Linked DNA regions of Saccharomyces cerevisiae S288C. Changing the gene in region 1 together with any one later gene gives a genetic interaction. Each region holds a gene or a part of one and is shown on either strand. Other genes may lie near its edges.

Evidence for each region.
Region 2: mutations in APM4 (region 1) and PCA1 together harm fitness more than expected from each alone (negative genetic interaction), as found in Saccharomyces cerevisiae (2 studies listed by BioGRID).

What each region holds. Positions count from the first base shown.
Region 1 is NC_001147.6:204,553-214,533, reverse strand, and holds APM4 (Apm4p), read left to right. Parts: upstream 1-2,538; coding exon 2,539-4,014; downstream 4,015-9,981. Other genes in the region: MAM3 (Mam3p), read left to right, coding at 1-517; ribose phosphate diphosphokinase subunit PRS5, read right to left, coding at 800-2,290; CRT10 (Crt10p), read left to right, coding at 4,269-7,142; MET22 (3'(2'),5'-bisphosphate nucleotidase), read left to right, coding at 7,358-8,431; phosphoinositide 5-phosphatase INP54, read left to right, coding at 8,649-9,803. UniProt on the Saccharomyces cerevisiae protein: Component of the adaptor complexes which link clathrin to receptors in coated vesicles. Clathrin-associated protein complexes are believed to interact with the cytoplasmic tails of membrane proteins, leading to their selection and concentration.
Region 2 is NC_001134.8:787,749-800,767, reverse strand, and holds PCA1 (cation-transporting P-type ATPase PCA1), read right to left. Parts: upstream 7,920-13,019; coding exon 4,269-7,919; downstream 1-4,268. Other genes in the region: transcription factor MAL33, read right to left, coding at 1-245; TYC1 (Tyc1p), read left to right, coding at 526-645; PHO89 (Pho89p), read left to right, coding at 2,246-3,970; SUL1 (sulfate permease), read right to left, coding at 8,954-11,533; VBA2 (Vba2p), read right to left, coding at 12,338-13,019.

The DNA.
Region 1 (9,981 bases):
ATCACTCTCCGCCGAAGAACAACAACTATTAAGTGATCATGCAGAGCTATCTCGCCAAGCTGTTCTCCATACTCAACGGTCGGGTCAACCAACTCAAGTTACTACCTCGACTAAAACCACGAGAAATAGCCCTGATAGTATATCAATTCCAAATTCTGGCGCGAATCACGGCAACGAAAATCAAAACGTTACAATCTCAACCTCTTACCAAAATACGAAGAATGGTATTGTGGAATCTGTCATCACAGTCAAAGGTGTTCCAAAAACCATCATTGGCCCCGCAAAAGATTGGGACGAATCCAAAAGTGAATATGGAAACGAGAATATCAATCAAGAGAATTCTAATCGAAGTGACGATAGAGAAAGTTCAAGTTCAAATGCAAGTTTATTTTCCAGTATTAAGAATAAATTTAAGAACGAAAACGCTAACAACAATGATCGTTCTAATTTCACCGACTCTTTGTCAAGAACTTCCAATTATGATGCCAACGGCTCCTCGTCGACCATAAAAAGATGAAGAGATTATGCCAAAAGAATTGCCCATGCATCATAATAACCATCATCACCGTTCTTATTAGTCCCAGACGCATGAAATCACAGGGGAGAGCAGCTTAAAATTTTTTCTACAGACATACAAGAAGAAATTGCAGTTTTTTTTTTTTTGTTTCTCTAACCTATAAATAAAATGTTTCAATACACATACTAAACAAAGAAAAAAAAATGTAGAGAATTTTATACGCAAAATATATAGACACTTTCCCCTATTTTTATCAATAAAAAAATGAACACATCAATGCCACTACCATCCATGCTCGAACAACATAGAAATGGATTCACCGTTATGGATTCTTCTAATTGCTTCACCGATTATGCAGGAGACATCAATAACATCCACTCTGTCCTTACCTAGGTACTGTAGTGTTCTATCTTGAGGAACCGTGTTAGAAATGATCAACTTATCTATACTACTTTGGCCGATTCTTTCTAGCGCATCACCGGAAAAAACACCGTGCGTTATTAAGGCATAAACTTTGGTAGATCCTTGATCCTTCAACAATTTCGCAGCTCTTGTAATAGTGTATGAAGTATCCACCAAGTCGTCGACTATAATACACACCTTGTTTCTAACATCGCCAACAAGCATGGTAGTTTGAACGAACTTGGACGAATTAGAAGATTGCGACGAGGTGGAAGATGTTGAAGTTGTTTTCTTCATTTCAAGGGCCGCAACCCCAGTGGCACCTGAAGAAGTAGTATTTTGGGAGGAAACCAAAGTAGTAACTAATGGCCTTGGAGATACTGGTAACGAACCACCAGAGGTTAACGTCGCATCTGGAGGGCCCTTCAATAACTGAGATCTTCTTTCTTTATGAATTAGGGCGAAGGACAATTCCAAGGCGTCTGCAATAGCCGTAGCTCTCTTTGCACCACCAGCATCTGGAGAAACGATCACAGCATCCTGATAATCTGGAATGCGATGCTGGATGTAGTTTTGTGCAATGGGTTTACAGTAGAGATTATCCACTGGAATGTCAAAAAACCCAGGGAACTGTGGATCGTGCAAATCCATTGTGATCACATGGTCAGCACCTGCAGCACTCAACAAATGAGCAATCAAAGTACCGGCTTGTACTACCCATAGCTTATAGCCTGCATTTTGAGCGTTGAACAATTCACCAGCGTCCGTGCTATTGCTTGTATTTTGTAACTTACCACCGGGAATCATAGGAATTCTTGAAAAAGAAAGCGTCTTCTTGATGTCGAAATTGTTATTCGCCGTAGCACTGCTGTTTGGTGTTCTGATAGGTTGAGGATTTTCTAAGTTGATAGTTGATCGTATTGCACTATCCAAACTCTTCAACGAGCTCTCAGCACCTGGTCTTTGCGTCATTAAAGAAGATGACACGGGTGTGCCTGGATGCGATTCAAAAGTATAGTTTTCTTTAGGCTTGGAAATTATGGGAGCACCCTTGGCAGTATATGGAATATCTGGCTGTCTCGAGTAGCAGAGATATGGCATTACGGCTGTAACCCTCGAGGCAGAAGCGGACTTGCAGGCACTGATTAAAATCAGCAACTGCATGAACGTGTCGTTCACCTGGCCACAACCACTCTGGATGATATATACATCCTTTTCACGAACAGATTCGCGAAGAGCAATGTTCGTTTCCCCATTAGAAAACTTCCCTAATTCTACTTTCGATGGGTGAATGTCCAAATTTTCACAGATCTTAGTAACTAACTCGGGGTGCGAGTCCCCTCCAAAAACAACAATATTACTCATTGACATCCAGACTGCGTTCCTAGCCTCGTAGCAACCTCCAACAAAGTCACTTTCGACCAACTTACTCTCATCTCATCCAGCCCTTCTCGCTAATCGTAGCCATTTATTATTTGATAGAAAATTTTTTTCAACTGCGGTCGAAGGGTAACAGCCATATTTTCCTTAATTGATTAGTATAGGAGAACTTGATGATAAAGTGTGGAAACCTTTCATAAACGGTTGGAGAAAAGAATCACATAGAGTTATGGTGAGCAATGATTAGTGGTGTGCTGGTATACTCATCGAGAGGTGAACTTGTCTTGAACAAGTTCTTCAAGAACTCGTTGAAGCGGTCCATATCCGATATCTTCCGAGTACAAGTGATCAATAATCTAGATGTTAGATCGCCTGTTTTGACACTGGGCTCAACTACTTTCCATCACATCAGGTCGAGGCATGGTGACAATTTGTGGTTGGTAACCATTACGAGAAGCAACGCTAATAGTGCGGCGATCTGGGAGTTCTTATATAAGCTTGATGCAGTGATGAATGCTTATCGATTGGATAGAGAGGAGGCCTTGAAAGAGGAATTCATGATTGTGCATGAGATGCTGGATATAATGTTGGGTGGAAATGGGATACCAATTGACACTGAATTGAACTCTGTTATAGCGCAGATGTCTGTGAAACCCGTTAGAAATATGGGCGGATTGTTAGATAGTCCCGATGGAAATGATGTATTATCTTCCTCTTCATCTCCTACTTCTTCAGCAGGAGAACTACATTTTCCCAAATTTTTGACAAAAAGAAGCAGTAGTTTCCTGGGTCAAGGAGACTCCACTTCTGATTTCTATGATAACAATAAGATCACTTGGAGGCCCAAGGGGATAATACACAAGAAGGATGAAGTTTTCTTGTATGTCAATGAGAGGATAAACATTCTGGTATCTAGGGATGGTTCTATCTTGAAATCATACGTTGATGGCACCATAGATATCACCACACACTTGAGTGGGACCCCTATTTGTAGATTTGGATTGAATGATTCTTTGGGAATGCAGTCCGAAGACGAGAAGAAATGGTTAGCACAGCAGCAGCGTCACTCTGGCAGCGATTTTGGAAACAAGAACTTCATTCCCAAAGCTGCTGCCGGTAGTGTTTTGTTGGAAGATTGCAAGTTTCACGAATGTGTCTCACTTGACAAATTTAACAGAAATCATATCATTGAATTCGTCCCACCAGACGGTTCGATGGAGTTGATGAAATATCATGTACGAGATAACATAAACCTGCCGTTCAAGGTTACACCTATTGTTACACATTCTACAAGAGATAACGAGATTGATTACAGGATAACATTGAAGTCTTTATTTCCTGGAAAACTTTCCGCCAAAGATGTGGTACTACATATACCCGTTCCACCAAGCACTGTGGATTGTAAGATAAGTGTCTCTAATGGCCACTGTAAGTTTGTGCCAGAAGAAAATGCAATGATTTGGAGGTTCAACAAGTACAATGGGTTGACGGAAAACACTTTAAGTGCAGTTACTGTGTCCACAAGTGATACTACTCAATTGAATCTTCAACAATGGACAAGACCTCCAATATCCCTGGAATTCGAGGTCATGATGTTCAGTAATTCTGGCTTAGTCGTACGATACTTTACCATTTCTGGAAAAGACAGTAAGCATCGTGCTGTAAAATGGATTAAATATATATCGAAAGCCGGTTCTTACGAGGTGAGGTACTAGCCCGTAATTTTTGTGTACATATATTTTTATCATGCCTGTATTTTTTATAGTAATTTCCTTTAGAATGCACATTTTGTTAATATTGAATATTTTCTATTATGAGAGACATGCAATTTAGTTTTTCATTGAAAAGAAAACAGGGAAAAAACATGGAAAAACCATACAAGACACCAAAAACACCATAGTAATGAAGATCAACAGCGCAATCAAGAGGCACTGGTACTTCTAGGCTTGAAAATTTGGTTTTGAATATAATGCCCCCTCAGATTCCCAATGAAAATGATGATCTCTTTACAAGGTGGCTTAAGTCTCGGGCCATCATACAAAGGGCAGTATCGACAAGAGAGTGCTTTGACTCAGAAGTATTTCTGGCGTCTGGTGGCTGGAATATAACGAATGAGATAATAACGTTAAAGAAATATTATCAACTCAAGTGGCCAAACTCCAGTTGCAATTCGTTTCATCCAAAAACCGTGGAGTTTATTAAAGAACGATTACACAACCTAGAAGAACATGACTCTTCATGGAAAATCCCAAATCCTGCTTACTCATTCAAGAAAGCCTTCTTGGAGGATACTAAATCTGCATTTTCCAACTTAGAACCCGTCTGGGGACCATCAAGGCTTTTGAATCCAGCTGAATTACTATTGCCACAGGACGAAAAACTACTTGTTCAAGAGATACCACTAGAGTTCGCACCTTTTCAATACACAAATAGGTTTGCTTATGGTGGTTTGCAGTTCAAGAACAATTTGTTCGTCACTTATGGGAGTTATTCCTTCCTGGCTGCCGGTCAATGCGTCGAAGTTCATAATTTCGATATACTATTGAACGTTTCGTCATTAGAAATATGTCACGCCTTATTGCCCGTGATAATACCAGATGACGGAGATGTAAGAAACTTCCGCAATTCATCATATGTGAAATTTAAGGATACACAGTTCAACAGCATACCTGAACTATGTTCTATCAACTTTATGAAGATTTGTAACTTCATGCATCAAGATTTTCTACTAGCTTGCGGTGACAACGGAATCGTTTATATCTGGGAAATCAACAAAGTTATTAAGATATTTAATAAATTTACTTCGGATATCTTGGGAGGCAAAGATAACAGCCGGGAAAGATACATAAATGTTGATCCATATATGGTGTTAAGAGTAGAGGAATCTTGTTGGAGTGTTGATGTAATAGATATAAATGGCATCATATATATCGCTGTTGGCCATAACAAGCCTGGAGTTACAGTCTTTGCATTCGATAAAGATGTAAAGAAGGAAAGACGGTACATTCGGCCTCTAGATCTTCCCTCATCTCACAATGTTCCTTGTGTTAACTTTGTTCCTAATTCAAAAGATTCTGTTGGATATATTACATTAAGTTATTGTTCTATATTTGGGAATGTTGTTACCGTTAAATTAAAGGAGCATGATTGTACCATTTTAACGAGTTTCCTTGATACTCAATTTTTTGGCGACGACTTATGGACAATAACTCCACTGACTAAGAAGGATTTTGCGAAAGTTGACAATTTCGAATTGTTGAATCTTAACTACCAAGACGGTTTCAAAGAAAGCATGTTATATTCTATTTGCCGAGATGATTTTTTACTTGGGTATTACTGTGATAACGCCTACCTCTCTGGGAATTTCGGTATTGGTACATTACTCAATCAATTTCAGGTTCCTGTCACAGACCTACGACTGACTTCTTCAGCAGGGATCCCCGATGAAGTTATACCATTAAGATTTACCTCATTTGATAGAAATTACACTACAACGGGCTCGATAAAATACGAGTACAGCAGAGAGGATTTTGCACTTATTTTACATGCCGGTGACTTAGACGATATGAATGATGCAGTGACAAAAAACACCTCATGTGAACAGCATTTACACCAATGGACATTTTGGGAGGATTCTGGTTATAAACATTATCGTGCTACTGAGCGTGGATTTTCGAAATACAAGGATATTATTAATACTTTTCCACAGTTGATAACTCCTAGTGGAAGAAATAAAACATCGCAATATCAAAACACTTCTGGGAGAAAGATCTGTGAGCCGTCTACTTATAAACTTACTGATCTCGAAAATGATATTGAAGATATATCTCGCGAATTTAATAGAAGTATTCGTAATTTGAAAATGGATAAACAAAGACAACTACGAACTTCAAAAGAGTTCAAATCGCTAAGTTCAGTAAATCATATACCAAATATTGAATCGGGAAACTTTTTATGGTACAACACCGATGCCGCTGCCGATTGGAGAACACTTTTTGGCAAGGATTTGAACACGGTCTTGAAGGACCCAGAAATTTGTAGCCTTCAACTGAACTCTACAGAAGAGGACGATGTCAATAGCGACCCTGAAAATGAAGAATCTGGTAGCAGCTTAACAAGTTTCCAGCGAAGATATAGGGATACTGAACAGCGTGCTCACTTGAAATCAGAATCGCAGAAATCTTGGGGGTTCCACAACTATGTAAGAAACGTCAAGCGGTTATTAGAGTCAGCAGTACCGGGCTCAGAAGATTCGCCTCTTGGGTATCAACTATCCGAAATGCACGACGAGTTCTTCTTCCTAACCACAGCCCATAGGCTGGTGTTGATGAAAGCAAATCCACTCATAATTATATCAGCAACTCATCATGAGATTTTTCCCTTAGATGGTGTTGTGACGTGTGCTTCCAAGTCGCTGCTCCAAGCACTAAACAGAATAAATTTTGTGTGTCACATCAAAGAACTAAATTGCATAGCCGTGGCTTCACAATTGGGTCTCATTTCATTACTAAGACTAACAGAGTACAGAGGCATCTATTCGTTTAGACAAGAGTATATTCTTGGATGGGAAGTCCAAGACCCTGTTAACCCTAGTCCAGAGTGCAGATGTAACAGGAACTTGTTTGACGCACCAATGTATGGTGCAGATGGAGAGAGCTCGGACACATACTGCGGCGTGTGCGACGTCTATTTCCCCATGGGTGATATTTGCGGACTAGATTACACTTATGCATCTGACAGTGAAGAGTTAAAACGTAAGGGATATGCTACCTTATACGTAGCATCAAGAGGCTCCTTGAGGGCATTCAAGATCACAACTGAGCATGGAACAACTCAACAATAGCATATTTTGACATTTACATAGCCATCTATATAATAATCCTTCCTTCATTGAAATGCGCGAATGACTCAGACGAGCAATATCACGTGTTGCGATTTTACTTTCAGTTTGCAAAGAAGAAACCATGCCACATATAAAGAACGTTTGCACTTCTCTTTAATTTATTAGTTAGTAAGTAAGAAGTTTAAAGACAACTCAGAAGACATCAGCACTTTACTATGGCATTGGAAAGAGAATTATTGGTTGCAACTCAAGCTGTACGAAAGGCGTCTTTATTGACTAAGAGAATTCAATCTGAAGTGATTTCTCACAAGGACTCCACTACTATTACCAAGAATGATAATTCTCCAGTAACCACAGGTGATTATGCTGCACAAACGATCATCATAAATGCTATCAAGAGCAATTTTCCTGATGATAAGGTAGTTGGTGAAGAATCCTCATCAGGATTGAGCGACGCATTCGTCTCAGGAATTTTAAACGAAATAAAAGCCAATGACGAAGTTTATAACAAGAATTATAAAAAGGATGATTTTCTGTTTACAAACGATCAGTTTCCGCTAAAATCTTTGGAGGACGTCAGGCAAATCATCGATTTCGGCAATTACGAAGGTGGTAGAAAAGGAAGATTTTGGTGTTTGGATCCTATTGACGGAACCAAGGGGTTTTTAAGAGGTGAACAGTTTGCAGTATGTCTGGCCTTAATTGTGGACGGTGTTGTTCAGCTTGGTTGTATTGGATGCCCCAACTTAGTTTTAAGTTCTTATGGGGCCCAAGATTTGAAAGGCCATGAGTCATTTGGTTATATCTTTCGTGCTGTTAGAGGTTTAGGTGCCTTCTATTCTCCATCTTCAGATGCAGAGTCATGGACCAAAATCCACGTTAGACACTTAAAAGACACTAAAGACATGATTACTTTAGAGGGAGTTGAAAAGGGACACTCCTCTCATGATGAACAAACTGCTATCAAAAACAAACTAAATATATCCAAATCTTTGCACTTGGATTCTCAAGCCAAGTACTGTTTGTTAGCATTGGGCTTAGCAGACGTATATTTACGTCTGCCTATCAAACTTTCTTACCAAGAAAAGATCTGGGACCATGCTGCAGGCAACGTTATTGTCCATGAAGCTGGAGGTATCCATACAGATGCCATGGAAGATGTTCCTCTAGACTTCGGTAACGGTAGAACGCTAGCTACGAAGGGAGTTATAGCGTCAAGTGGCCCACGCGAGTTACATGACTTGGTGGTGTCTACATCATGCGATGTCATTCAGTCAAGAAACGCCTAAATAACATATATTTTACTTTATTGATAGACATAAATATATGAGTACATATATATATGTGTGTATGTGTATGTACATACCAGTTAAATGATAACCTTTTTTTATTGTTGTTATAGCGTGAAAAAAGGAAAATACAGTGAAAAGAACAAAACTGAAGAGGTAAGAGTAGGCTAACAAAGAAGAAAAGTGAGACAAGAAAATACAGCAGGATTCTGACCGAATGAACAAAACGAATTGGAAGGTATCTGTAACTACATTCAATTGTGGTAAGGAATTTCCCGTTGAAAATTCGAAAGCAATCGTTAAGCAATTGCTTTTCCCCTACGATGACGGCATCTCCCAATTGGAATTGCAAGATCTATATGTGTTGGGGTTCCAAGAAGTAGTCCCCATATGGCAAGGCTCCTTCCCTGCTGTTAATCGTGATTTAATCGATAGAATTACAACTACTGCGGTTAATTGTCTGAATGAAAAAGTGTCAGCTACACAAGGGGATGAGCAGTATTCATGTTTAGGGGTGAATAGTCTTGGGGCGATTACCATAATAGTATTATACAATAATAATGCGCTAAAGGTAAAAGATGATATTTTGAAACGGAATGGGAAATGCGGTTGGTTTGGTACACACTTGAAAGGTGGAACTTTGATAAGTTTTCAGATGACACGCAATGGCGAGGAGAACTGGGAAAGATTTAGCTATATTTGTGCTCATTTAAATGCAAATGAAGGTGTCAACAATAGAAATCAAAGAATAGATGATTACAAACGAATAATGAGTGAAGTGTGTGATTCTGAGGTTGCAAAAAGCGACCACTTTTTCTTTCTAGGCGATTTGAATTTTAGGGTTACTAGTACTTATGATCCAACTACCAATTATTCGTCCACCACAACGTTAAGGCGTCTATTAGAAAATCATGAAGAACTAAATCTGCTACGTAAAGGAGAGGATGAACCGTTATGCAAAGGTTTTCAGGAGCTGAAGATAACATTTCCACCGACATACAAATTCAAGTTGTTTGAAAAGGAAACATATAATACAAAAAGAATCCCGTCGTGGTGCGATAGGATTCTCTACAAAAGCTATGCAGTGCCAACTTTCGCACAAGAAGGTACTTACCATTCCGTCCCTAGGTCCAATGCTCTATTATTTAGCGATCATCAACCCGTTAATCTTACCGTAAGATTACCAAGGTCTACAGGGACGCCAGTGCCGTTATCCTTACATATCGAAAAGTATCCTTTATCATGGAGCTCTGGCCTGATTGGACAAATTGGTGACGCAGTCATCGGGTACTGCGGTTGGCTAGTTACTAAGAATGTACATTATTGGATATTAGGTTCTTTACTATTATATTTACTATTAAAAATCCTGTAAAGTGATCTGGGCTGTCAGGCTAGAAGTTTTTCATTTATGTCTGAAACAGATAACGTCAGTTGTACCACTATCTTTGGTTTTATTCTTTTTATTTTCTCTTCCATATATCTTTACAGAACTTAAGTAATAATGAAAAAGAATGAAAAAAAAAAAAAAAAAAGAAAAACTAGTCAAAATT
Region 2 (13,019 bases), on another chromosome or scaffold:
ACCTTTTTAGGAACCTTCATTAATATTTCTGCCGCTGCCGTACAACTTTTATTATCTATAAACATTTTGGCCTTTGGTATATACTTTAAGCTTCTAGTTCCAATAGGCTTTGAGCCTCTTTTTTTTAATGGTTGCTGATATGTGCAATCGAAATTGTGCTCAATACAGCGACTACATGGTTTTTTACCATCACACTTTACTCGACGGACACGACAATAGTCGCATGCATACTTGACTAAAGTCATATTTAGAACATAAATATCTTCAAGATGCTCTCGTTCGATGTTTGATATTCAATATTTACACTCTAGTGTTTTCCCGAGAAAGAAACCTTCTGAAATGATTTTTTGTTCCTTTTTAATCTATTGAAAAATGGCGGTACGGACAATAAAATCCGGGGGCGGGGTAAATTGCGCATGGCCGTGGAATGTCACTGCAAAGTGAACGAGAAGATTAGAACACGGAATAAGGAAAACTTCTGGGGAATTTATTTTTCAAGATTTGGTTCCAGGTTTTTCCCCAGAAATGAAAGTGCTAGATGATTGGTTTTCAAGGAAGTTCTCAAAAGCTGTACACGGAAACAATCACGGCACCATTTCCTTGTCAACTCTGTCTTATATCAGAGTCCATAAACTAGTAAAATGACTTCGTAGAATCGAACAATATCTCACCATAAAATTTTTTTCACAAACAAAAAAGACGCTCTATTATACAAAAAGCTGCTGCGGCCCTTCTTAATGACTAAATCTTGACAACTGAGCTCTTTCACACCTGTGCAAAATCCAATGGGAGCAATAAATGTAACATATTTTTTTAACATACCACGGTAGGGCAATGAATATAAATAGATATTGGACCGTATCCTTTTCTGATCATCTTGAAAACATTGTCTTGCCTCTCAACAGCTTTATCTATTCTTCACCTCTCTTCGTTTGACTATTTCAGCATGTATTTTTTCACACAATTTTTCTTCCAACTATTTTCCAATATTACTACGAGAATTCCGACCACGGAAAAAAACTTGCGCTGTTCCAATCAGTCCCATTCTATCCATCTACCTGCCAGTGGTTTCGTAATATCGACTCACACCAGTAACGACATAACTGTTTTTTCGTTCATGATTTAATAGCGAGCCCACCTTTAACGCATATCTGCTTCACCGCTGAAATAATATTTTACGAGCACGCTAACACAATGCTTGTGTTTTCTGTTGAAATCACAATACCGTTACTTGGAGTGACCATTTATGGTTTGTTGAATTCACAGTACTCTCGTCAGCTTTGTCACGTATTCAACTGTAACCTCTTTGAATCTCAACACTACGTTGTCTTCGCGTGTACTAAATGTATCGATTATATAATAGTATTTAAAAATCATTTAAAATTGCACCATGTACTGTATAATGATTTTCTCAAGACGATATTTCGAGTTTTGCCGATGGGTCTTATAATCTCTTTTGATAGAGATACCTACTTTTAACAATATCAAAATTACTGATATAGGTTAATTTTTGTTCACGAGTAAGTACTTCAGTGACACTCGTCAGTAAAGAACATTAGCGGAATCGTTATAATTTCATTCCTTACATCCGTTTAATTTCATTAATTCGATGCATCTTTCTTTGGCGAAGCCAGAAAATCTAGTTTCAGAAATCTCGGTTTCACCCGCAAAAAAGTTTAAATTTCACAGATCGCGCCACACCGATCACAAAACGGCTTCACCACAAGGGTGTGTGGCTGTGCGATAGACCTTTTTTTTCTTTTTCTGCTTTTTCGTCATCCCCACGTTGTGCCATTAATTTGTTAGTGGGCCCTTAAATGTCGAAATATTGCTAAAAATTGGCCCGAGTCATTGAAAGGCTTTAAGAATATACCGTACAAAGGAGTTTATGTAATCTTAATAAATTGCATATGACAATGCAGCACGTGGGAGACAAATAGTAATAATACTAATCTATCAATACTAGATGTCACAGCCACTTTGGATCCTTCTATTATGTAAATCATTAGATTAACTCAGTCAATAGCAGATTTTTTTTACAATGTCTACTGGGTGGACATCTCCAAACAATTCATGTCACTAAGCCCGGTTTTCGATATGAAGAAAATTATATATAAACCTGCTGAAGATGATCTTTACATTGAGGTTATTTTACATGAATTGTCATAGAATGAGTGACATAGATCAAAGGTGAGAATACTGGAGCGTATCTAATCGAATCAATATAAACAAAGATTAAGCAAAAATGGCTTTACATCAATTTGACTATATTTTTGCCATTGCCATGTTATTTGCATTTTTGGATGCCTTTAACATCGGGGCAAACGACGTGGCGAACTCATTCGCGTCGTCGATCTCTTCTAGATCTCTAAAATACTGGCAAGCCATGGTTTTGGCGGGTCTCTGTGAGTTCTTGGGTGCTGTCTTGGCAGGCGCAAGAGTTTCTGGTACTATCAAGAACAACATTATAGATTCCTCCATTTTTACCAACGACCCCGCTGTTTTAATGCTTACTATGACCAGTGCTTTGATTGGCTCGTCTTGTTGGTTAACATTTGCTACTGCAATCGGAATGCCAGTTTCTACTACACATTCCATTGTTGGTGGTACAATTGGCGCTGGGATTGCAGCCGGTGGAGCTAACGGTGTCGTTTGGGGTTGGAGTGGTGTTTCTCAAATTATTGCGTCATGGTTCATTGCTCCGATTTTGGCAGGCGCGATCGCAGCTATAGTTTTTTCAATTTCTAGGTTTTCTGTCCTTGAAGTTAAGTCTTTGGAAAGATCGATTAAGAATGCTTTACTGCTGGTTGGTGTTTTAGTATTCGCCACTTTCTCTATCTTAACAATGTTGATTGTCTGGAAGGGTTCTCCAAACCTACACTTGGACGATTTATCTGAAACTGAAACTGCCGTATCTATTGTTCTCACAGGTGCAATTGCTTCGATCGTTTACTTCATCTTTTTCTACCCATTCTACAGAAGAAAAGTTTTGGACCAAGATTGGACACTAAAGTTGATTGATATTTTCAGAGGTCCATCTTTTTACTTTAAGTCCACTGATGATATCCCACCAATGCCAGAAGGCCATCAATTAACAATCGATTATTACGAGGGCAGAAGAAATCTTGGAACAACTGTTTCTGTTGAAGACGAAGAAAATAAGGCAGCGAGTAATTCTAATGATTCCGTCAAAAACAAAGAAGACATCCAGGAAGTGGACCTGGTTAGAACTGAAACTGAACCAGAAACAAAGTTGTCAACGAAACAATATTGGTGGTCATTATTAAAGCAAGGACCTAAAAAATGGCCCTTATTGTTCTGGTTAGTAATCTCTCATGGTTGGACTCAAGACGTCATTCATGCTCAAGTTAATGATAGAGATATGTTATCTGGTGACCTGAAAGGAATGTACGAAAGATCTAAATTTTACGACAATAGAGTAGAATATATCTATTCGGTTCTCCAAGCCATTACTGCAGCCACTATGTCTTTTGCTCATGGAGCTAATGACGTTGCCAACGCTACTGGTCCTTTGTCTGCTGTGTATGTGATCTGGAAAACTAACACTATTGGGGCAAAGTCCGAAGTTCCCGTGTGGGTTCTGGCTTATGGTGGTGTTGCCTTAGTTATTGGTTGCTGGACTTATGGTTACAATATTATCAAAAATCTAGGTAATAAGATGATTTTGCAGTCGCCATCAAGAGGCTTTTCAATTGAACTAGCTGTTGCTATTACTACTGTCATGGCTACCCAATTAGGTATTCCTACCTCAACAACCCAGATCGCCGTTGGTGGTATTGTCGCTGTTGGTTTATGTAACAAGGATCTCAAATCAGTTAATTGGAGAATGGTAGCCTGGTGTTATTCTGGTTGGTTTTTAACTTTACCAATTGCTGGTTTGATTGCCGGTATCATAAATGGTATCATTTTGAATGCTCCTCGCTTTGGTGTGGAATACCAAATGACATAATCATAATGTGTTTCGGTTATGAATACAGTTTTACAACATTAGGTAGAACTTTTATTGCTCAGTGACTTTAAAGTTAAAACATTTCTAATTTAAAACCTTAAAGATGCATTAATTTTTTTCTAATTTATCAGTTGATCTGCAATTACCTGGCATGGCTATGTGTATTTTTTTTTTTTATGAATTCCATCATATTAAATAGAAAACTAAACTAAATAATAAATAGAGTATTACAGAGTCGTCAAAAAAAAAAAAGAAAAGAAAAAAGAAAATCTACAATCAAATAGCAGCAGTACCTGGACTAAATCTTTGCATAACGCAGAAGTATAGCTACAAAAATTACAGGGAGGATACTAACTAGTTCCCCTAAACCCGCATACTCTGGTGGAATATGAAAGTCAACAAAGGCACCAGCCGCCAAAAGGATAGCAAATAAGTTGTAAGTAAAACTCCATAAGAAATTCAATTTGACCCTAAACATGGCCTTTTGACTTACAGTTATCATAGTCAAAATATTGTTGAGCTTTGGCTTTAACATAACTACATCAGCAGCTAGCTTGGCAACCTCACTTCCCTCATTGATATGAACTCCAATCGTTGCTTGAGTCAAACCAATTGCGTCGTTTGTTCCGTCACCGCAAAAAACAACAACCGGTCTTTTTGACTGCGAAGAACTATCGCAATTTCTTCCTTCGACAATATCCTTAATATATTCACTCTTTTCTGCAGGCGTTGCGTGAGAACGAATATTGGAGCTTTCAATTCCAAGACGGGCTGCCATAGAACGAACGGCTCCATCGTCATCCCCTGATAAAATGTGTAGTGAAATCCCTCTTTGGCGTAACAAGTTAATAGTGGAGACAGCATCTGCCCGTAAAGAGTCCTCTAATGCATAAACTGCAGTGACTGAACCATTAACACTAAAACAGAATACAGAATATCCTTGTTCAAGGGCTTTTCGAACGTCAGGATCATTGTTATGACCAAGCCAACGACAGTTCCCTCCTTGTAACTTCAAACCAGAGTATGATGTTCCTTCTACCCGCTTACCAGTCACAGCTTTTGTATTAGAAACATTTTGAGCAGAAACACCTTTTTCTTTGAGATAGGATGCTATTGCCATGGAAACTGGGTGTTTTATTCCTTCAGTTAATCCAAGCAACAAAGATTGAGAATTATGACGATCACCCCTAACAGTTTCATGTACTACAGTAAGTTTTCCTTCAGTTAGGGTACCCGTTTTATCGAAGACAACATGCGAAGTGTTGTGAGCAACTTCTATACTCTCTGCTGATTTGAAGATTACCCCTCTTTTCGCAGCGACGCCACTTGCAATAACAAATACGATAGGAACGGCAAGTCCAATCACGCAGGGACACGAAACGATAAGTACCGTAATGGCATATATAATGGCCTGAATTACGGCATCGGAGCGGGATTGCTTTTCCACACGGATTCCAACCGCTATCCAAACGCAAAAGGTGACGACAGTGATTCCAATGATAGTTGGCACGAAATAACTTGCAATTTTATCAGCGATATTTTGGATCTTTGGCTTAGTTAATTTTGCTTCATCAACCATCGTGGCTATGGTACTAATAGTATTGTTCCCTGGAAGCTTGCTCAGCTTCACAAACAAAGTACCAGTGCCATTCACCGATCCTGCAACAACAATTGATTGACACTTTTTCGGGACTGGCATAGATTCACCTGTGATTAACGCTTCGTCGACTTCAGAAGACCCAGAAATGACTGTTCCATCAGTTGGGATTCTTGAATCAGGTAAAACCTTAAAAATATCGCCATATTGGAGAAGTCTAATATTAATTTCCGTCTCTTTACCAGTTTTATCCACCAGAATAGCAGAAGAGGCCTGTAAGGAACGTACTGATATTGACTTTACAGCCCTATGTCTAGCTAGTTCACTCACAAAGCGACCAACCATGATGAGAGTTACAAGCAAAGAGCTGGTTTCAAAAAACTGCTCCGTAGATAACGGGCGTCCAACAACGAAATATCCAAATGATACAATCGAAAATATGTAGGCAGCGCTAGTGCTTAAAACTATTAGTAGATCCATTTCAATGAGCCTGGAAAATATCAAACTCTTCAAGGCATTTAAGTAAAACGGTCCTGCAATAACAAATTGAATAATAGTTGCTAGCACCATTGACGCGGAGATAGTGGAAATTTTTTCACGAAGCTGTGGAGCCCAAGCCATCACGAGAATCGGGATCGTCAATATTATGGATAAAGCGGTCGTGCAGCCTACACGAACTAAATGCTTCCTTCCCACTTCAATGGTTGGATGACAACTGAATGGAGCAATACTAACAGGCACGCTCCATCCTTCATTGACAAGATCTCTGGCACCTATAACCTTTGGGTCAAAGTAAATACGAATGATATTTCTCTCAACAATTTTCAGCTCTGTGACACCTTGTGGCCATTCCTCATTAATAAAATCTTTTGCTGCATAAGGAACAACAACATCTATAGTTGAACCATGATTTGAAATCTGTTCGTACTTGAATTCAGTAGTTTTGCTCAAGTGCTTGATAACATCCTTGACAGATCCCTGAGCAAGATCCAGATTAAATTCAGCTTGCGATAATATTAAACTGGTCTTCAAACCGTGAACACATTTGAGCGCGCCAAATGATTTCTTAAGTTTTGATTCACAACCAGTACAGGACATTCCTGAAACACTAAGAACAATGTGCTCGGTACCGGTAGATCCTGCCTCAAGATTAAGATGATTTTCAATTGGTTCCATTGATACGATTCTTGAAATTTCACTCGAAGAGTGTCCAGAAATAGTTGAGGTAACAGCACAATCCTTCATTTTAGTGCAACAACTTTTAGAACAAACAAAATCAGCATGGCCATTGTCATTGCTCAACCTTTCTTTGTCTCCATGGGTCTTTTTCTTTGTTAAACATCCAGAACTGTTGCGGTAGGAGTATTTTGTCTTTTTAGAAGCACCCTCCCCGCTACAAAAACGCACCTTTGGGAGACAACAAGATTCTTTTCCCAAAGTACGCAAATAGTTACAGATACAACCTAAATTTTTCAAAATTGAGGAGTAACGATTGTACATTCTAGAGTACTGTTCGCTGAAGAACTTCTCGCTTAAACTGTCGGTAGAGCTACTCCCAGAAATTCCAACATTGGTGCTACCTTTAAAAGTCCTCTTTTCACAGCTACGAGATGCAATCCGCTCAACACATGAAATGTTGCAGCACTCAGGCTTACTGGAAACCTCAATTTTCTGTCTGCTAACTTTACAACTTCTTTTCTTGAGTGTAGAGTCACTTGATTCGATGCAAAGCCTACCCTTCCCTGTGTGTTGGTTGGAATTGGTATTGCAGCGAGTTGTCTCTCTAATATCATGAATAGATTGCAGACCTTCAGATTTGCTTGGAACAACTTCAAAGCTGGTCAGCAATTGTTCTTTAGAAGATACAGCTTCGCAGCTGCCTGTAACTTCCTCGACCATCACTGAAGAATCTCTAACGCAGCATCCATCAACACAGGATTCATTGGTGTGGTCACCACCTGTTTGAGCATCGCCGCAACAGCTGTCCACATCCAAGCCAGTCTCAGTGTCGTTCACTTTCTCAGCACAACATTCATCTACACGGGATTCATTGGTGTGATCACCACCGGTTTCAGCATCGTCTACATCTAACCCAGCCTTAGTCCTATTCTCGCCATGATGGCATATCTGCTCAGTCTCACTCAAACATTCCTGAGGAGTAATTTTGGGCCGATTGGTACAGTCTCGCTGGGAGACCAATCCCAGATTGTCATTAGCATGCATTTCTATGGATCTACGATGACACTCGCCTCTATTATCTTGCATAGCATCTATTGATATGTTCTCGCTATTTACCACTCCATACTCGCCATCGCTGGTACCTAAACCGGAGAAGAGTTTTTCCGGCTTCATCGTTATCAGCAGCTTTGGGCTCTTTCATTGTATAAATCCTGGAAGCATCTCGAAAATATCTTGCTTTTATATTTATAATTGCACCTTATTTATGCCAAGTGTAGGCTTTTCATGCGATTTTAAAGAAAAATTCCTTGTTGGCGCCTAAATTTTGATTACCTAACCCATACATTCGTTCAACCTTATATTTTTAGAAAGGCCTGTTATCAGATCATTTTCCGAAAACTCTTCAGAACCAATTTCAAAAAGACAACTATTTGACACTTTGTTGGTTTTCTTCAAAACAGTGATGGATTCATCCGCTCGAGGAGCTAAAATGGGGAATGAATTCCTTCCAAATAGAAATAGTACTTACTTCATTGTATTGTTGGAAAATATAAATCGATATTAACAATAAGAAAATTATTCCATTATTGATTTATGAGATTAAAATCACACAGCCTACATACAACTCAATAACGTTATCTGCCTTGCAAAACTGCCTCTGTATATATATCGATGATCTTCAAAATATACTATTTTAAGAAGTGTTTTAATTGAAGGATTAAAGTACAGGGTAACTTTTTAAAATTCATTGTATTGCTAAAATAGTATTTTTCTTTTCAGATTCATAACAAAACATAATTTCTTCCACATTAGGAGAGACAAGCCGTCCAAACTCTTTCCGCCTAAAAACCATGAAATAAATTCAAAAAAAATTAGGAAAATGTTGCTCTATCTAGCATAAGCTTAATACTTAAATGCATTTTTATTTTTATTTTTGTATTTTCAAAGGACATTTGTAGAAAATAGGCTCAAGCTCAAGTTAACTTCTAGACCATGTCTTTTCAGCGCCTTAAACTACTGAAAACGGCCCTTTTCGTGTACTAATGCTTTCAGGAAATTATAAAATTTATTTTTACTTTCGCCATTCAACATACTCAAAATAATAAATATTCCAGCTATTTGATGGTAATCTACATTAATAACACAATTATCTTTTCATGTATAACTAAAAACAGGGGGGGTAATTAAAGTACTTACTATCTACTACACTAAACGTCCCATTTAGAAAAATCGGGTATATCGATATGAAAAAACGGTAAATTTGTCCCAGTTGCAGCACATAATGTTTCATAGTTACTGTAAGATGTGCTTATACGGCTGTCTTCATCAGTATAATCCACATCATCCTTCAAAACTTTTGCAACGTGAAAACTAGAATGGCCAGCGATAATAGAGTCGTCACTATATTCCTCATTTGTAGTTCCGAATTTAACACTCAAAAGACTTCTTTTGATCCATGGAGATATAATTCCGGCAAAATGGAATTCGACTTGTCTATCCGCATACCTATTCACAGCTTTTCTCAGATCAACCAGGCTTTGAACAGCGGTTGAATCCACTTGAGCAACTTGGGAAAAATCCAGGCAGACGACTTTCAGTAGCGGCTTTTCATATGTTTCTCCGTTACTGCTTCCATTCGATATCGGTAGGTCACTATTCGTTGTTGCTGAATGACGTTTAAATTTAAATAGTGATTTCAAAGAATCTGGCATTTTCCATTCACCAGGATCATTCCATGGACGGTCTGACTTTTTCCTTAAGGTTATAAGTTGGCCTCGCCTTGTTTCTTCCTTAATACGATCAAATATAATGTCATAATGCCTTGAGCAGTTCACGTAAGTAAAGCTATCACCCAAACGATAGACTATGACACCTGGTGGAGGAGGCCGAACTGTGGTATTGATATTCAATTCTCTTGAGTATCCATGATCGAACGGAACCCACTTTACGCTAAACTTATACTCTGGGGCTGGTAAAACCTCAACAGTAGACTTAACCTGTTTATTCAGTTCATTAGGTAATTCATTAGATGATATCACAGCATCAATATCCTCTTGTACTGTTGGGTTCAATACTTCTGCCACCTCAACACGACCAAGGAATTTACCAGCAGGGAAAGCCTGTTTCAATAGTAACATTGCACATGACCAACACATTGCAAAATATATACCATTTTCAATGGATGAAAATACTGTGATGAACACTGTAACGATAAATGAGATACAATCTAACGGGTTGGTCTTCCAGAAGGTCCAGGTGGTTTTGTAAGAAGTCAGCAAATCAGAAACAGCATGAATAATAACCGCCGATAGTGTCGCTTTAGGAATGAAAAAGAAGGCGTCAGTTAAACAATAAAGTGCTAATAGAACGCAACCGCCAGTGAATACCCCAGAAAACGGAGTGCGCACGTTACATTTTGCTTTCAAAGCAGATCTGGAAAATGACCCAGTTGCTGGATATGAGTGAAAAAATGTCCCTATCAAATTTGTCACACCAATCGCAATAAGTTCTTGGTCAGGGACAACCTTGTAGTCGTTAATTCTACCAAAGGATTTTGAAATAGCGATGTGTTCTAACACCAGAACGATAATTGAAGCAGGTATTTCTGAACTCATATTAGATAGCAGACCGTCTGGGATTTTCATAACTCCCACCTCATTTAAGCCCGAGGGAACTGTACCCAGAATACTGATTGGACGGTCTTTTGAAGATTTGTTTCTTGTTATGCTCCACGATATGGCAGTAAAAACTACTATGACGACGGCATTTCTCATAGCTTGTGCATAGAAATAGAAGGATTTCAGTCTATTTGCTACCTTTGGTTGATTTCGATAATATCTATCTGCCAAAGTTATACCAAATGTACCACACCACCATTTCCATACATAGAGGATTACCAACGGAATCAAGCCAAAAACGGCGTCTAACTTTGTGTTTGGTAAATGTTTCAGAGTGTTAATTACAACCTTATACGTTGCTTCTCTGGTATTCACTAATGAGTTGTATCCCATGAGAGCCGGAATTTGACCCCAGATGATGTTAAATGCGGAACCGGTCATGAAGCCAGCAACAGCATTTAGAGAAATAAGTTCCACTAAAAAGCCTAAACGCAGTATACCCAACCCAGTGGCGACAATCCCACAAAGCAAACAAAGGGTAGTTGCAATGATAGGAGCTGTAACTTCTGTCTGGTCTTCGGGATATTTTTTTAGAACTTCAGCAATGACTTTGGCAGTTTGTAGTGACATTACAGCGACCGGACCAATACAAACATCTTTCGATGTGGCAAACAAAGAATATATAAACGCACCAATAAAGGAGGAATACAAACCATATTCAGGAGATAAACTAGCGATTTGTGCGTATGACATAGATTGGGGCACGAGTACGCAGCCAACTGTAATTCCTGCCACTAAATCAGCATAGCCCCACGTAAAGTTATAATGAGGAAACCATTTTATAATAGGAAAAAGAGATACGAGGTAACTTCCTGCCGATTTCGCAGTTAGATTGTTTTTGATAGAATGATCATAGTACTCCTTCAAAGTGACTGTGCTCTCTTCATACGCTGGAATGGAATCGTACAGGACATCTGATAGCTCATTTTTCGTTACCCCAAATTTCTGCTTACTACTATTAACCTTCCAATTTTCCTCATCACCATTGTGAAGTCCGTCTCTGTTTTCTGCCGCCTCAGATTCCCTATATGTGCGGTATTCTGATTCAAATACTTCGATATCAGCATCCTCCTGATTATGCACATATTCAGTCGAGCTCTTACGTGACATATTCTTTCCGAGTATTCTGCAGGGATTTATTTTTATTTTTAAAGCTATTGACCTGGTTTTGAGACGTTAATGTCAGCTAATATACTTTTATATAATCGGTTTCACAATTTTAAATCGAAAATTTTTCTACAATAGAAATATTAAGTTTGAGCAGTACAAGATCCATGTGCATTACAACACATTTTACTTCACTATTTATATTATTCTTTTGGTCTTTGTTTCTTTTTTTCACAGTGCATAATTTCAAATGACAGTGTTCGAGAAAAGACATGAACAGGTAGAAGTGTTCAAAATTATTATGGGTCTAATTTGACAACTTGTTCGTTATCGCTTGCTGCGTGGGGAAGGTGTGGAGTTTTTCTGGGATCTGTGACTCAAATTCCGATTTGCAAAATTGCAAAGCCGCACTGTGGTTCCAGCGAGACTATAAGAAAAAGTCAGATTTGGACAATTACACGAGATCTTTATTAAAAAAAGTGCACTCGAGGTGGCGGTAACACAAAAAAGTGGGGGGACTTTACAGCAAGTTTTCTGAAGCCTTTTTTCATTGGTTTGTGACTATTTTAGGTTATCACAGCCACATCTTATTCACAGATTATGAAAGTAGTATGTATTTAGTTAAAGTTTACAGAGGATAAAAAAACTATAGAGATAGTTGCATTCGCTCACAGTTCAGCACTGTCGGTCAATTAGAAACGTTGCAATTCCACGAAATACAAAAAAAGTTTAGTGTCAAGTAGAATATCTAGTTTCAATACTGTTAATGTATCAATTGAGTCGGTCAAGGGCATAGGTATATATTGTTTATCTTCTTGTTTTAGGTTTCGCCAGATTGTCTTTAAGGATGCAGAGTATCAGGGCCAATGAAGAGAGTAATGTAGACATTAGATGAGCCCTCTTTGTTGCCTCATCAAAACTCTTTATGACTGTGTTTTTAACTTCGCCATGTAAAGATCCAATATATGAGGAGTTTGCACTAAGCTGAACAATAAGTTTCTTTATCTTGTTTTCATCCAGTAGACCTTTCAAATTACTACGCAATAAACCTGCGAAAGATAATTGAATGACGCCAGCTGAAATTGCAACACCCCATACAGATCCAATACTACGGAATAAATATAAAGTTGATGTCGCAGTAGCTTGGTCACTCTTAGAGAACATAAATATGAAAGTAAACAAGGTCGTAGGAAAAGTGATACCTTGTCCTAGATTTGCAGGTATCAAAAATAGACCAATCAACCAGTTCGGAGAAGTTTTTTCAATAAACAGGAATAAAAAGTTACCCAAAAACATCAAAGAAATACCAATGTAGAGTAATAATCTTAGACAGTTGTACTTGCTCATGGAAAATCCTGTTATGAGACTGCCTACCGGAGTAAATAGGGAAGGAATCGTAAGACGTAATCCTGCTTTTGCAGTGGAATCTCCAAGTACAATCTGAAAGAATAATGGTAAAGTAAAAAGATACGCGTAGCTGGCAAAACCA